2 linked regions of the Medicago truncatula genome follow. The protein of the gene in region 1 interacts with the protein of each later gene in a pairwise test. Links are inferred from orthologs where the notes say so. Each region holds a gene or a part of one and is shown on either strand. Other genes may lie near its edges.

Evidence for each region.
Region 2: the proteins of transcription factor MYB61 (region 1) and polyubiquitin 9 interact in a two-hybrid assay, tested with the Arabidopsis thaliana proteins (2 studies listed by BioGRID). The link is inferred for Medicago truncatula from reciprocal best matches to the Arabidopsis thaliana genes MYB67 and AT5G57860.

The regions. Positions count from the first base shown.
Region 1 is NC_053043.1:32,722,181-32,728,723, reverse strand, and holds transcription factor MYB61, read left to right. Parts: upstream 1-3,888; 5' UTR 3,889-3,915; coding exon 3,916-4,045; intron 4,046-4,705; coding exon 4,706-4,835; intron 4,836-5,200; coding exon 5,201-5,882; 3' UTR 5,883-5,973; downstream 5,974-6,543.
Region 2 is NC_053043.1:20,250,025-20,257,082, forward strand, and holds the start of polyubiquitin 9, read right to left. Parts: upstream 3,049-7,058; 5' UTR 2,884-3,048; coding exon 2,881-2,883; intron 1,410-2,880; coding exon 1,224-1,409; intron 1,016-1,223; coding exon 976-1,015; intron 236-975; coding exon 153-235; 3' UTR 1-152.

The sequences.
Region 1 (6,543 bases):
CCCAATGAAGCGTTGATAAGAAGGTTAAAGCCTCCCTTAAGTCTACATCAAGAAGTGGAATCAAACATTCAGTTTACACCACAAAACAACCTTCATCATCTTGAATACACATGCCAAGGCCAACCAGATTCAAAGTATGGGAAAAGGAAGCATTTAAATTACATTGTGACCACCGGGACTTGGTTTTCGCCATTGCATATCTCCAAGATGAGTAAGATTAGTGGAGTGCATAGAAGTGTGATTTTGAAAAGTTTGGGCATTCATCCAGCTTGTAGAAAAATACCATGATCGACCACAAATAGTTTAAGATGATTCAGTGATGTTGTTCCAAACCTTGTTATTACTATGCTTCCAGATACTTCATAGGGTCAAACAAAAAACTTGTTTTTGCTTCGGATCTAGGTGTTGTAAAATAACAAACACATTTGTTGCAAAACTTGTAGTAGGATCGAAGACACCCATCAAAATACTCCATAATCTTGTGCGCTGCCAACAAAGCACACTTTTACTGTACATGAAAAACAAATGATTTCTATCTTCACAAACCACGCACTAATCAGGACACTTAAAAACTTTTGATTGCAACAGAACTCTCGCAGACAAACAATTTTGATAAGCACTCCACAAGAAATTTTTAACCTTCGGTGGCAGCTTGAGCTTCCAAACACAATTCCAATTCTCAGACACACGATGTTGTAGAGCTAACACATCATGATTCATAATGCCCTTATACACACTCCTATCTGTATAAACACCGTCCTTCTCAAGTTCCCAAGTAGGCACATCATGAAGCTCCAAAGCCAACAATGGAGTATTAGAAATACTTCTGGCTGTGTTGTTGTAAAAAAAGCCATTAATTAGCTCCATATTCCATTGATTTTGATGTGTAACCATCAAGTCTGCAATAGTGATATATGGCCATTCCAACTGTTGAGGAGTTGTTGGCAAAATGCACATTGTGTTACTAAGGCAATGATGGTCCCAGACTGGTATGTGATCTCCTTTTTTTATGCTCCATTGAAGATATGGATGAATTATATCTTTCACACTCTAGATACTACACCAAACATAGCTAGGATTATGGCCTATACCAGTCCTAAAATAATCACCTCGAGAAAAATATTTAGCTTTCAGTAAACGGGTGATTAGACACTCTGATTTAGAAACAAACTTGCAAACCTGCTTGCCAACCATAGCCATATTAAAAGCCTTAAAACTCTTAAAACACATTCCACCAAACACCTTAGGAGTGGAAAGTCTTTCCTAAGATATCTAGTGCAAGCGAGAATTTGCTGAATTATGACCCCACCAGTAATTTGACATTTTCTTAAATTCATTAGTGAGTGAACCCAGAATGAGAAAAACACTCATCACATAGGAAGGAATAGCCTGCAAAATGATTTAATAAGAATCTCAGTTCCATCTTGTGAGAGACACGTCCTAGTACTTCAAGAATTTATTTTACTCCATATGTGATCCTTTATAAACTTAAAAGTTGCAGGTTTACTTCTCACAATCATAGAGGGCAACCCAAGATATTTATTGGCACCTAAAACTTGATGAAACCAAGAGTAGTGACAATGAGGTTCTTGAGATCATCTGGAGTATAACGGCTACTAAACAATTATGATTTTTTGTAAATTAATAGCTTGCCCCGAAGCCACTTCATAAATAGTCAAAATGTTTTTCATAGCAATTGCTTCTTTTTCACAAGCTTTAAAGAAAAGAAAACAATCATCGGCAAAAAGAGGTGAGGAATATTTAGTGCCTTTGTGCATATCATAGTACCTCTGATCTCGACGCTCAACCTTACAAATTAAGGAAGAAAGAGCTTCAACACAAATAATGAAGAGATAGGGTGAAAGGGGATCCCTCTGACGAAGGCCACGTCCTGGCATAATAGGACCTACATATGTTCCATTAACCAAGACCGAGTAGTCTATGGTCTCAACACAAAGCATATATATATATATATATATATATATATATATATATATATATATATATTGCTAGAAGACACATTTTATGAAGGTGTCTTTTAGCAAGTTATAACTAAAAAGTGGATAATCACACCTTGAGGTGTTGCTTGCTAAAAGACACCTCTAAAGGGTGTCTTCTAGCAAAAGCATATATATATATATAACATTTGTGATACTAATTTATTTATTTTTATTTGACAGGCGGCCGTATGACGATTCTTAGAAATCATAGAGACTTTCTTGAAGAATTGATAAACCTACTAAAATGGACATACTAGGAGTCAAGGACACCATGAATTTTCAACGTCTAACCGTGCAAGTCTTAGTATATACATACATATATGTGTTTCCCCTGTTATTGAAGTACAATTGTGTCCGTTATGGTGACTAAAGATTTATGATTGTAAATTCATTTTGAAGACTTCTGTAAATCTTGTGTAGTGTTGGAGTATAATCAATGGTAGTGGATTTTATTAGATTTTGCCTAGGAACAAAAGATGATAGTGAATTTCAAGACAGTGAAATTCAATATGGACACAAAGACACTCCAAATTAATTAGACCTTTGAGATAAAGACACCAAATTATGAGTGAACATGAAGTTTTAAGGCCAGCTCATTTCTCAAACGTGATTTGCATTGATAACCAATAGGACCTTCTTTCTTTCTCCTTTTTTTAATGAAATTGATTATGTTTCTTCAATGTGCATGTCATTTTTGACCAATTATAGGATGGTCGAAAATTTTACATACACCAATTGACAAGTAGCCGGGCAAAAGGAAAAAAAAAAAGGCAGAAGTAGTTAAATGTTTGCTTGATATAACATACTTTTTTTTATTACTTTTTAATTAGAAAACTAACAAATGTTTTTTTACCAACAGAAAATCAACATATTATCATCGCATTTTAATTTTTCTGTTTTCACTATTTGTATAGAAGACAAATAAATAAGAATATGCCTTCAAAAAAAATAATATAACATGTTTTGTTAAATAATATATATATATATATATATATATATATATATATATATATATATATATATATATATTTTACTTTAAATTATAAAATTGCCACGCTTTTTTTATTTCAAAAGATCTATAAAGAAAACATGGTAAACAAAAGTACTTTTCACAAGTCTATATAACAGAAAGCAAATAGGAAATAAAAAATCAAGTAAAACAGTGTGTCATTTTTTAAAATCTAAAACGAAAAATATATGAAAATAAAAATATAAAATGTTTCTCACCAACCATAAAATTCATTCTATTGTTTTTATTTTATCAAAAAATAATTATGTAATTGTAAAACATGATTTACTCTTCAATAATTAATATCTGACTTTATCACAAAAATTTGCTTATGTTAAAAAATAATAGAGTTTAACTTATATACTTTATTTTATGTTCAACTTAGTTGGCATTATACTTTACGAAGAGAAATGTTGCAAAAGCTTAATGACTCATAGTAATAATTTCACCATGGACTATACTCTGGAAAACAAATAGTAGAAAACTTAAAAGGGGACAACGTCCCTTGAAAGAGTCAAAACCCAATTAAGTTACACTACATTGATTGATTATAAGAATGAACATAGATTTTCTAAATTATGCATTGAACACTTTTCCAAGACAAACCTTTTTTTGTCAAAAAATAAGACAACTCTTTTTTCTCCTTTCATGTTTGATTAAATTCCTAAACGAATTTGATAGTGAGAGTAAATTAAGCTCATCATTTCATTCATTCATCAGAGGATTCTTGCACTTGTCAATTAGTCTTTTAATCTGGTCCCACCAATACATATGTAGAGTGTGACACTAGATTTTGGAGGTGGGACCCATAGACTTTCTTGTCATTACAATTTCTAAGGTGTCTATTTAAATGATGTGCTCAAAAAAACATATATTCTAAATTCTCTCATAAGGCTATTTGGAGAAATGGGCCATCATTGTTGCAGCAAGCAGAAGATCAAAAGAGGATTATGGTCTCCTGAAGAAGATGATAAGCTTATTACATATATTACTACTCATGGACATAAAAGCTGGAGTTCTGTTCCAAAATTTGCAGGTATACATTTCTTTCTTCTATACTTGTGAATTATTATTGTGCTTGTTTTAAAGTGTGTTTGAAGACTTTTATAAGTATAAGTATGTGTGTGTTGAAACCATGATTTGTCTCGGGACAACTACTTTTAATGCGGTTGATCTTCTCACATCTTTACTCGTAAAGGTAAGAGTTAGACGTATTGGTGGTTAAAATCGTGTTACGTTTTGTTTAATTTTGATTACCACACTTGAAGATTGAATCCTTTGATGTGTTTAAATGCAGTTTCCTAAGTTTTTCTTCTATTGCTGCGTTTGCAGTGATTTTTTTGTGTAACATACTTTGACTCTTTGTTTCTCCAGGACTCCTTTTCAAAAAAAAAAAATGTGGTTGATATTGTAGTTGCAGAAACCTCAAAATGCTTTATATTGCGGCCATAATTACAGTTGTGCATCACAATTGTGTGTTGCGTATGTGTCGGCCGAGATGTCATGATTTTTATTGTTTATGCAAACAGCTTGTGGTTATGACTGAGGCTGCATTTGACTGTAATTCTTTGAAATATCAAGAATCATATGCAATTGTGATTTCAAACCTCAAATTAATTTATAGGCATTTTTCTTTTAGTTTTCTTAGTGTGTATAGCAAACAAAATATGATGCTAGTGTGGTTTGCTATATACAGGCCTGCAAAGATGTGGAAAGAGTTGCAGATTAAGATGGACAAACTATTTGAGACCAGATCTAAAAAGAGGCTCCTTCACTGCTGAAGAAGAACAGATCATAATTGACATACATAGAATTCTTGGAAACAGGTAAAGTGTAATAATAAAACTGAACAACCAATTTGATTTCCCAAAATTTGGGTGGGACCCGATTCAGTCTTAGACAAAAATTATTTCTAAAATTAGTCCTTGATATTTTTCTATAGGGAACAAATTCTTCTATTAATTCATTAAAATAGAGCGACTAATTTGTGTTTGTATGAAAATATCAAGGACCAATTTAGGTATTATTTTTGTCATAGACTTTGGGTCACAGAGAAAATTATGAGAGATCAAATAAAATATTATCCTAATAATAGTTACAAGTACAAAAAGATGAGAGAGGAAAATATTTGTAATAGTATAATATGAGTGCTTGTAAATTCATGAATGCATGCATTATTTGTCTGCTGCAGATGGGCCCAAATAGCAAAGCACCTTCCTGGTAGAACTGATAATGAAGTGAAGAATTTTTGGAACTCTTGCATTAAAAAGAAGCTTATTTCTCAAGGCTTAGATCCACAAACTCACAATTTACTTTCTTCTTCTCATCCTAAGAGAAACAACTCAAATTATAAAAGTTCCAATTCCATTTTCATTCTTAGTTCACAAATGCCACCAAATACTAATTATCTCATTGAAACAACAAATCAAACCTTTCCTTCACTACCTAAACCTCTACAAAATAATATTCTTCAAACTCCTACAAGTGTTTCCCCTAACCAATATCAAGCATCTTTCAATGTAATTTCAAATCAACTCAGTGTTCCCGAGCATGAACTGCCTCGAATATTAACTGAGAACATATCAAACATTTGTTCTACTTCCTGCAATGAGAATAGCATATGGGTTTCAAGAGTTGATGATTGTAGAGGTTCAATGTTAGAAGAAGGAACACAAGCTCATGTGGAGCAAGAAAAGGAGAAGATTTGTGAGAAGGGAATGGATGAAAAAGAAGTTAATGAGAAAGAAGATATTGAAATGAATGGTTGTTTTGAGAATTCTAACTTTGATTTTGGGTTGTTGGAGAGTGTACTTAACTCTGAGTTTATATCTCATGATCTAGACTATATGGATCAACTTGCATGGAACTTTTAAGCCATGATCTAATTCTGGTTTCTATTTTTATTTTTTTTGTGAACTTTTTGGTTTCTATCATTAATGTATATTTATCAGTGAGTTTCCTAAATATTAAGATGTGCTAAACACACACACACACACACACACACACACACACATATTACATTTCAAATTTATAAACATCTTCTAGAAGGTATTAGGTTTAGGACAAGCTCCCTTGAAAATGAAATATAAGAAAAAAATTGAAATCTTAATATTGGTTTAATTCATTCAAGAAAATTATTGTAACTTCTCCTAAACTAGCATTACTTGGATGAAGTAAAATAAAATTTGTATATAAAAAAAGAATTTGTTTTTGACAAATTAAAGAAAAGAACTTGGAGTCATTAGAACAAAAAAAAATATTTCTTTTTGAAAGCATTGAGCCAAGGCTTTTTTTTTTGTTGACGATATCCGAAATAAAATGTACTCATATTTTTCTTTTAGGAGACATTGTACTTATTTTCTATCATTTCCCCTCCTTTATATTTACCTGACTTTAAGACGGACACTCTGTGCTCATCTGTTCGTTTTTTATTGTACTAATACGTATAAATTACGAACATTAGTTTTCATGAAATTTTGATTAAATAATTTTGATTTTGATTAAAGTTATTGTTGAGGCAAAATCCCTAATTTA
Region 2 (7,058 bases), about 12 Mb from region 1:
TATCCACATACCATTTAAAAACTATTTTGACAGCGTTGTGTAAGTCGTTATACAACGATGAACACAAAGTAGAGAGAATAACAGAAGGATGACCAACTAAATCAATGATCCAATGAACAACATACTAGTTTGGTGGAGTATGGCTTTACCAATTACCAACTGGCACCCTCTGCATCCCTCGTCTGATAGAAATCACTTGGTCGAACAATGTTGACCTCCTCAAACTCATTATCATCTGGAAGCAAAAGGAAAACATCTTTTCATTATGTTGTTTCTGAAAAAGATATGGCAGTACACTAACGGTGCATGTACATCAAAAACGATCCTCTAGAGGAAATGATGTTGTCAAAATGAAAGATATAAACAAGTAAATGCAGGTATGTAAGTGCTTGTAAATATCAGTTCCTAAAAGTTAAAGATATCAATATAACAGCCATCTAGAAGACCTTCATGAATTTCTCCAATTATCATTTTTTCAATGAATAAGTTATCACTTAAAAGTATTTAAGACGTTTTTAATTCCATGAAGAACATCGGTCCAATCCATCACCTAACAACTGCAGCTGAACAAAACATGTCATGTGTGCTTTTATAACAATAGACATCGTGTATATTGTCAAAAACAAATTTGTTTTAAAAGTTAACTTTTGGATTGAAAAGATTTGTTCAATAAATTTGTTTTATCTTGGCAACTTGGGTTTCCGTAACCTCACAGTAATGCCATACAATCTAAAGGCTAAAAATATTTAAGAATAAAGATAAACATGCTCAGATGATACAAAAGTGAACGAGTAAGCACTTTTCAGATGATACAAAAATGAACAAGGAAGCACTTTTTTTGTTCAAGTGAATAAACAGGGCTAGTTACCAATATCCCCCAATGTGAATAAACTACGTGTATTTGCCAAAACAAGTTAGAGCGTGTTTTATATCCCTAATATAAATTCATAAATTTCTAAGGCACCCCAAGTTTACCTTTCCTCAAGGTCAGTGCAACAACAGCATCTGTATCAATCTGAAATGTAAAAAAAACGGATATCTTTAGCATCTATAGCATGTATGTCATATGAGAAGCAATCAGAATTATTTCAGGCTAGTTAGAAACTAAGAATCAATGGAAAAAAACACAGATAGAATCAAAGCTGGATTTTTGCTAAATTCTAACATTTTAAAAAAGAAATATACACATAGTAAATGACATGAAAAGTTACGTAGTAGCGTACCTTTTGATCGGCCAGAGTCTTAGAGTCATCTAATACTTCCCCTGTACCAGGTAGAATCAACCGTTGGTCCTTAGCAGGTTTGTCAACAAGCTCTTGTAACTTCTCCTTTATGTCAAGAATTTTATCAGATGCCTTGCACCGGATGAAATATGTTGTCTTGTCACGCTTAATGCGAATGTACATATCCTGTCAAGCAATGATAGTTACGATTAAAGACCATCCCAAATTTTACAGGATGCATAACAGATACATAAAACTAAATTAGCTGCAAGGAAGAATTTCAATAGAAAATAAGGCTACAAACTCCATCTATATTATCGATAAAATTAGCATTCACATCTCATAGATTATTGACCACAGCCTCTTCAAAAAATAAAAATAGAACACCTTTCACTCACTCGCCACTGAAGCAGAACACTCATTATCTTTTGATTCTTTAAGGTTTTGGGAAAAGGTATTCTTCTGAATATTGAGCACAATGTAATGTTGTTCATCACATACGTTCATCCCATATTGCAATAAAGTTAATAAAGTTACCATTGTTCTTCAACCTTTCTTCCAACTAGACTATTTCAAAAGCATAAAGAATGCACTAGACACAACTTTTGCATACATTCATTAAACAAGTCTAAAACCAAGTTAAAAAGATTGGGACTTCAGCAATCTACCAAACCAAGGTTGTTGATCGCATGAAATAGTGATTCGTTCAAATTTTGCTATGCCTATAGCGCTATAGAACCTTATTTATAGCATCAGTATAATCCTCCTTTTGACAACAAACACTTTGTACTAAATTGCTTATCGCATAACATAATTGTTTCTTCAAATTCTGCTACGCTAGTAAATATTAATCTAACCCCTAATAACTAACATTTGTCATTCAAAAAATAAAAAATAAAAATTTAACTTTCAAATTTGTTCCGGTCTGGGCCAAGACCCAAACCTGGGGTAAGTCTGGACTTCCATCCTCATAGTTCCAGAAGCACCATGATATGGACACGTCCCTTGACCACACTGGAACAATGACCCCTTGGAACCATCTTCTAGGCCGTACGAGCCGGATCAAACAATATCTTCCTATGAAGCACAGACACTCTTCGGATAAGGCGTGTCCTCGTGTCAGACACGTGTTGTGTCCGACACCGACACATATAATTACACTGAATTATGTGATTTTCTAAAAAAATTAGTTGTGTCGGCGTGTCAGTGTCCATGTCGTGTCTGTGCCCGTATCCGTGCTTCATATCATCTCATGTTTTGCTGACAGCTGTCCCTCAAGGACAGAGGACAGCTGAACAGGTAAAGATTCAAGGACCAAAACCCTAAAACCTACACTATAAATACTAACCCAGGGGCATTGGTCGAGGTATGCGCGCACGGTGCGCACATATCACCTCACCATTCAAGAAAAGATTGTAATTCAACAACATCACACAGAGTTCTTAGTCCAGCATGATCAAAATTGAAACCATATTTTGCCTCAAAATAAAAATTGAAACCATATTTCATTGATAAATTGCGTGATCCTTTGAAAGTAAACCTAATTAACTAATACTGAGAGATAATGATAAACAAAATTAGTTTAATATGAATTGAATTTAAATAGTACGCATAAATGAAAACAAGGATTGAAGAGAGTGATAGAAAGAACACATACCATTTGTTATACCAACCAAATTCAAAGAGTTGTGCAATTTGCGTAATTGATTAATCAAAACCGAATTTCAATTCCAAAGAGAGGTAGGAACTCAAGTGCTGTTCTGTTCGGTGTGTGATTTCAAAGCACTGCGTTTCTCGCTCACAAAAGTACTATTGTTTTTATTTTTTTTATATATACAAACATATATGAGATTTGATATGATAATTAGATACATCAAAATTAGTGTTTTATAAACTTTAAAAAATAAATTTATTTTGATGTGTTTTTTTTTTTTTACAAAATATTTTGATGTATCTTATTAACCTATCAAATGAGGTGTGTGTTCACATATCCTTTCCCACCATGGGAAAGTTGGATTCAATGATTAGATTAAGTGAAGAATATATTCTTAACATGTTCTCTCAACATTAGATTTTTCTTCACACTATCTTCCAACAATTTAAAAATTCTGAAAATTAATTTTCAGAAATTAAAAAAAATATAAAAAAATTCAGATAATTTTTTGTTAAATTCTTCAATTCATTTATTGAATGTTAGAATTTTTTTTTTTGATTTTTTTTTGATTTCAATAAAAATAAAATTTTGGAAACTAAGATAAGTTTTTATTTTTCTAAAAAGAATATATTTTTTAATTTCATAATAAAATAAGATATTCTGAAAAATAAAATAAAAATATTTTGAAATTAAAGTTTTTTATTTTTCTAAGAAAATAAAATTCTCGAAAATAAGGTTTTTGAAATAAAATTCTGGAATTTTTTTTTTCAAAAAAAAATTCTAACATTCAAGAAATGAATTACATAATTTTAAAAAAAAATTATCTGAATTTTTTTCGATTTTTTTAATTTCTGAAAATTAATTTTCAGAATTTTTAAATTGTTGGAAGATAGTGTGAAGAAAAATTTAGTGTTGAGAGAGCATGTTAAGAATATGTTCTTCACTTAATCTAATCATTGAATCCAACTTTTCCATGGTGGGAAAGGATTAACCTTTCCCATGTGAAATGCCACCATCAAATGATTATTGATTAATATCAAATCATGTAGATGTGATATATGTTATAATATCTTTCAGTTTAATCTTCAATTTTTCCATACCTATAATATACACCTCCATGTTGAAGGGGCATTTTAGTAAGTTCACCTCACCACCTCTCTCTCTCACTCTCTCTCCCATTTTAAGATACACGTACCATTATTTGCTTGTTTGTGTATTTGATTTGGGATTAATGGATTTCTAGCTTAGAAGGGTATTTTAGTCATTTTAAGACTAAGGCATTTTGGTCATTTTGCGAGTGAGAGTAAATTAGTAAATTTGAGGATAGTTATTTTTACTAAGGAAAAAAAAAATGGTGTAGGCAGTCCATGATAAAATTAATTCTCCTCTTTAATCTAATGGTTGAAAAAAAAATTCCTATAGTGGAAAACAACTCTCCTTTTCCATACTAAATCCCACCATTTTTTTTATTCTTCATGGTCTATTATTAATAACAAAATGGATTTTTCCAATGTATAAAATAAAAATTTCAATGGCTTTTGTTGCTATAACCTTTCTGATGGGATAAAACCGCAAGTGTACGGTTCTACCGAAGTAGTAAAAATAACCACAACGAAAAAGGGGAAAACGGATTCAACGAAGACGACAAACACGAACACGAAACCAACATACCTGAAACGAATCGATTGTGTTAGATTTCAGTTTGGATGAGTTTGATTTGAATGGATGATGAAAAGGAACAAATGAAGATGGAACAATTCAGAAGAAAAGGGGGAAATGAGAAACCCTAGAATTTTCCCCCTAATTCTTCAATTATATATATTTTCAATTAATAAAAATTATTTGTTTTAATTTTTATTAAGTAAATATATTTTTTGCTTTTTAAAAATTGATTTTAAATGATTAAAATGAAATCAGTTTACACATGGCTGCCACATGAGCAAAATTGAACAGTCAGCAGGTGACACATATGCAAAAATCAGACACATAGACAAGAAAGTGGGGCCAAGGACCTTTTTAAAAAACAAAAAATTTTGCAGGGATTGATTTCGTTTTTTTTTTTTACCAGGGACTAAAACCCAAATTCGCTATATTTGCAGGAATCAAAAACCATATTTTAGCCTATTTTTTAACACACGTTTTCGTTTTCTTGTTTGAGAGGGGATTAGGAACTAGCGATACTCATAGATGAATGGAAGAAGGGGAAATTGTCTACTATTTAATTGGGTTGGTTCTTTTAACTTATTACTAATGTCATGGTATTAAATTTAAAAAAGAAGGTGAATAGACGAAGGAATAGGAAGAATGATGAAGGGAGGATGTTTTAGATGTGACCAAACTTAAAAAGGACTTATACGTGACTAAAGTAATTTAAACGATTAATATGTTATAAACCTCAAATTTAAAGAACTTATGTGTGATCAATATAATTTAAAAGACTTTACAAACCACAAACTTAAAGGACTTATGATATAATTTAACCTATTAGTTAACTCAAAAGGCCTTATGAAGCTAGCATTAAAGGAAGTACCAGCCAACCAAGGGTTCAGCCAAAAGAGAGTTTTGTCATTTAAAAAAACTCATTAACACAGTAAGATTAATCAAAACATTCTTATTTATTGGACTCTCTTATTTTACGTGTCTCTATCATATCGAAACCACTAAATAGACCTTAATTCAGCTGAATCATTTATTTTATTTATCTTTTGAATTTGAGATATATTTTAAACATTTAAAAATTTCAACTGACTCCTTAATATATATTTTTCAATATAGTTGATCGACCCATTTGTATTTTATAATATAATCCTTTAATATTTTACCAAAAGGTGTACCAATTTATCTCTTTTCTAACATAATTTAAAAATAACAACTCATAAATTAAAAAAATTAAAGGAAAAATTCAAAACTTTTTTTACGACAAGTTAATAAAAGCATCACTAATAGGGAGTCCTTTACTTAACAAGGACCTCAACATATTAAGGACCCTCATTGGAGGAAAAAGAAAAAATAGGTATCTATTAGTTATCGGCAACTATACATTGACTCTCTCTCCTCAACAATTAACGGGTCCCACAATCAAAAAATGAAAAAAAAAATCTGTATAAGTTGGTCACACCTTTCAAATTCATGTTATTTTAGCTATCTTTAATTTCTTTTTATTTTTTTTAAATGCACACATAAATGGTACAATACATATGCATATAGTGAGACCTATTTAAAAACTCTTAATTGGAGTCCCAATTAGTGTAATATCATTAGAGTCATTCAATCATCAATAAGTATTTATTTATTAAAAATTATAAATAAATTATGTGTACATATATAGTTCATTTAAGGAGTGCTTATTTATTCGTTTAGGACCTTTGTGATGCTCTAAACTATATTAGTAGTTGGAGCTTGTGCTCAAAATCTCTAGGGTCCGAGTTTCAACCAGTTTTTTTTTTTTTTTTTTGAGGGAAGTTTCAACCTTGTAAACAACTTAAATTTGAAACTTAAATAAAAATCTACAAGACCAATTTAAATTCAAAAAATAGAGTAAAAGTAAGAAATGTAATTTAACCAATTTTATTTATTTTTCCATTAGGAAAGAATTTTATGGAATTCCCCACACGTCATTCTATACTAACGCTTTCACGTAAATATATTGGATTATTTCTAAAAGAGAAAAATCATAATTTTTAATCAAAAACCTAATCTATTTGTTTTTTAGAAAAGTCTGGGTAATAGATTTAATCACTCATTTTTAACACACGTATTCGTTTTCTTGTTTGAAATGAAATTTGCACAAGTCTTTATTTTTTGGATAATTGATAAAAATGATTTTTTTTTGGATATAGTGGACAAAAGTGACTTGGAGATCACATTTTAGCAAGAAATCATTCAATCAAAATCCCTCTATATAAAATCAAGCATGCACTCATCGTCTTTGCCAACAGAAAGTGATACTAAAACCTTGTTGGCTTTGCACCATTTGAAAGGTACAAAGTGCTATTCCCTCTTCCATTCGATGCATGTTCCTCAACTTTTTTTTAAATCGTTCCATAACTCTGCATGGTTTTTTTAATGTTGCACTCATAACTTTTCTGTTTTTATCTTTGTTCGCAGCTCCATTGGATCGAAATCTAATCACCGACTTGAACAAGTTCCTTATACCTTCAGCATTATTCAATAGGTATACC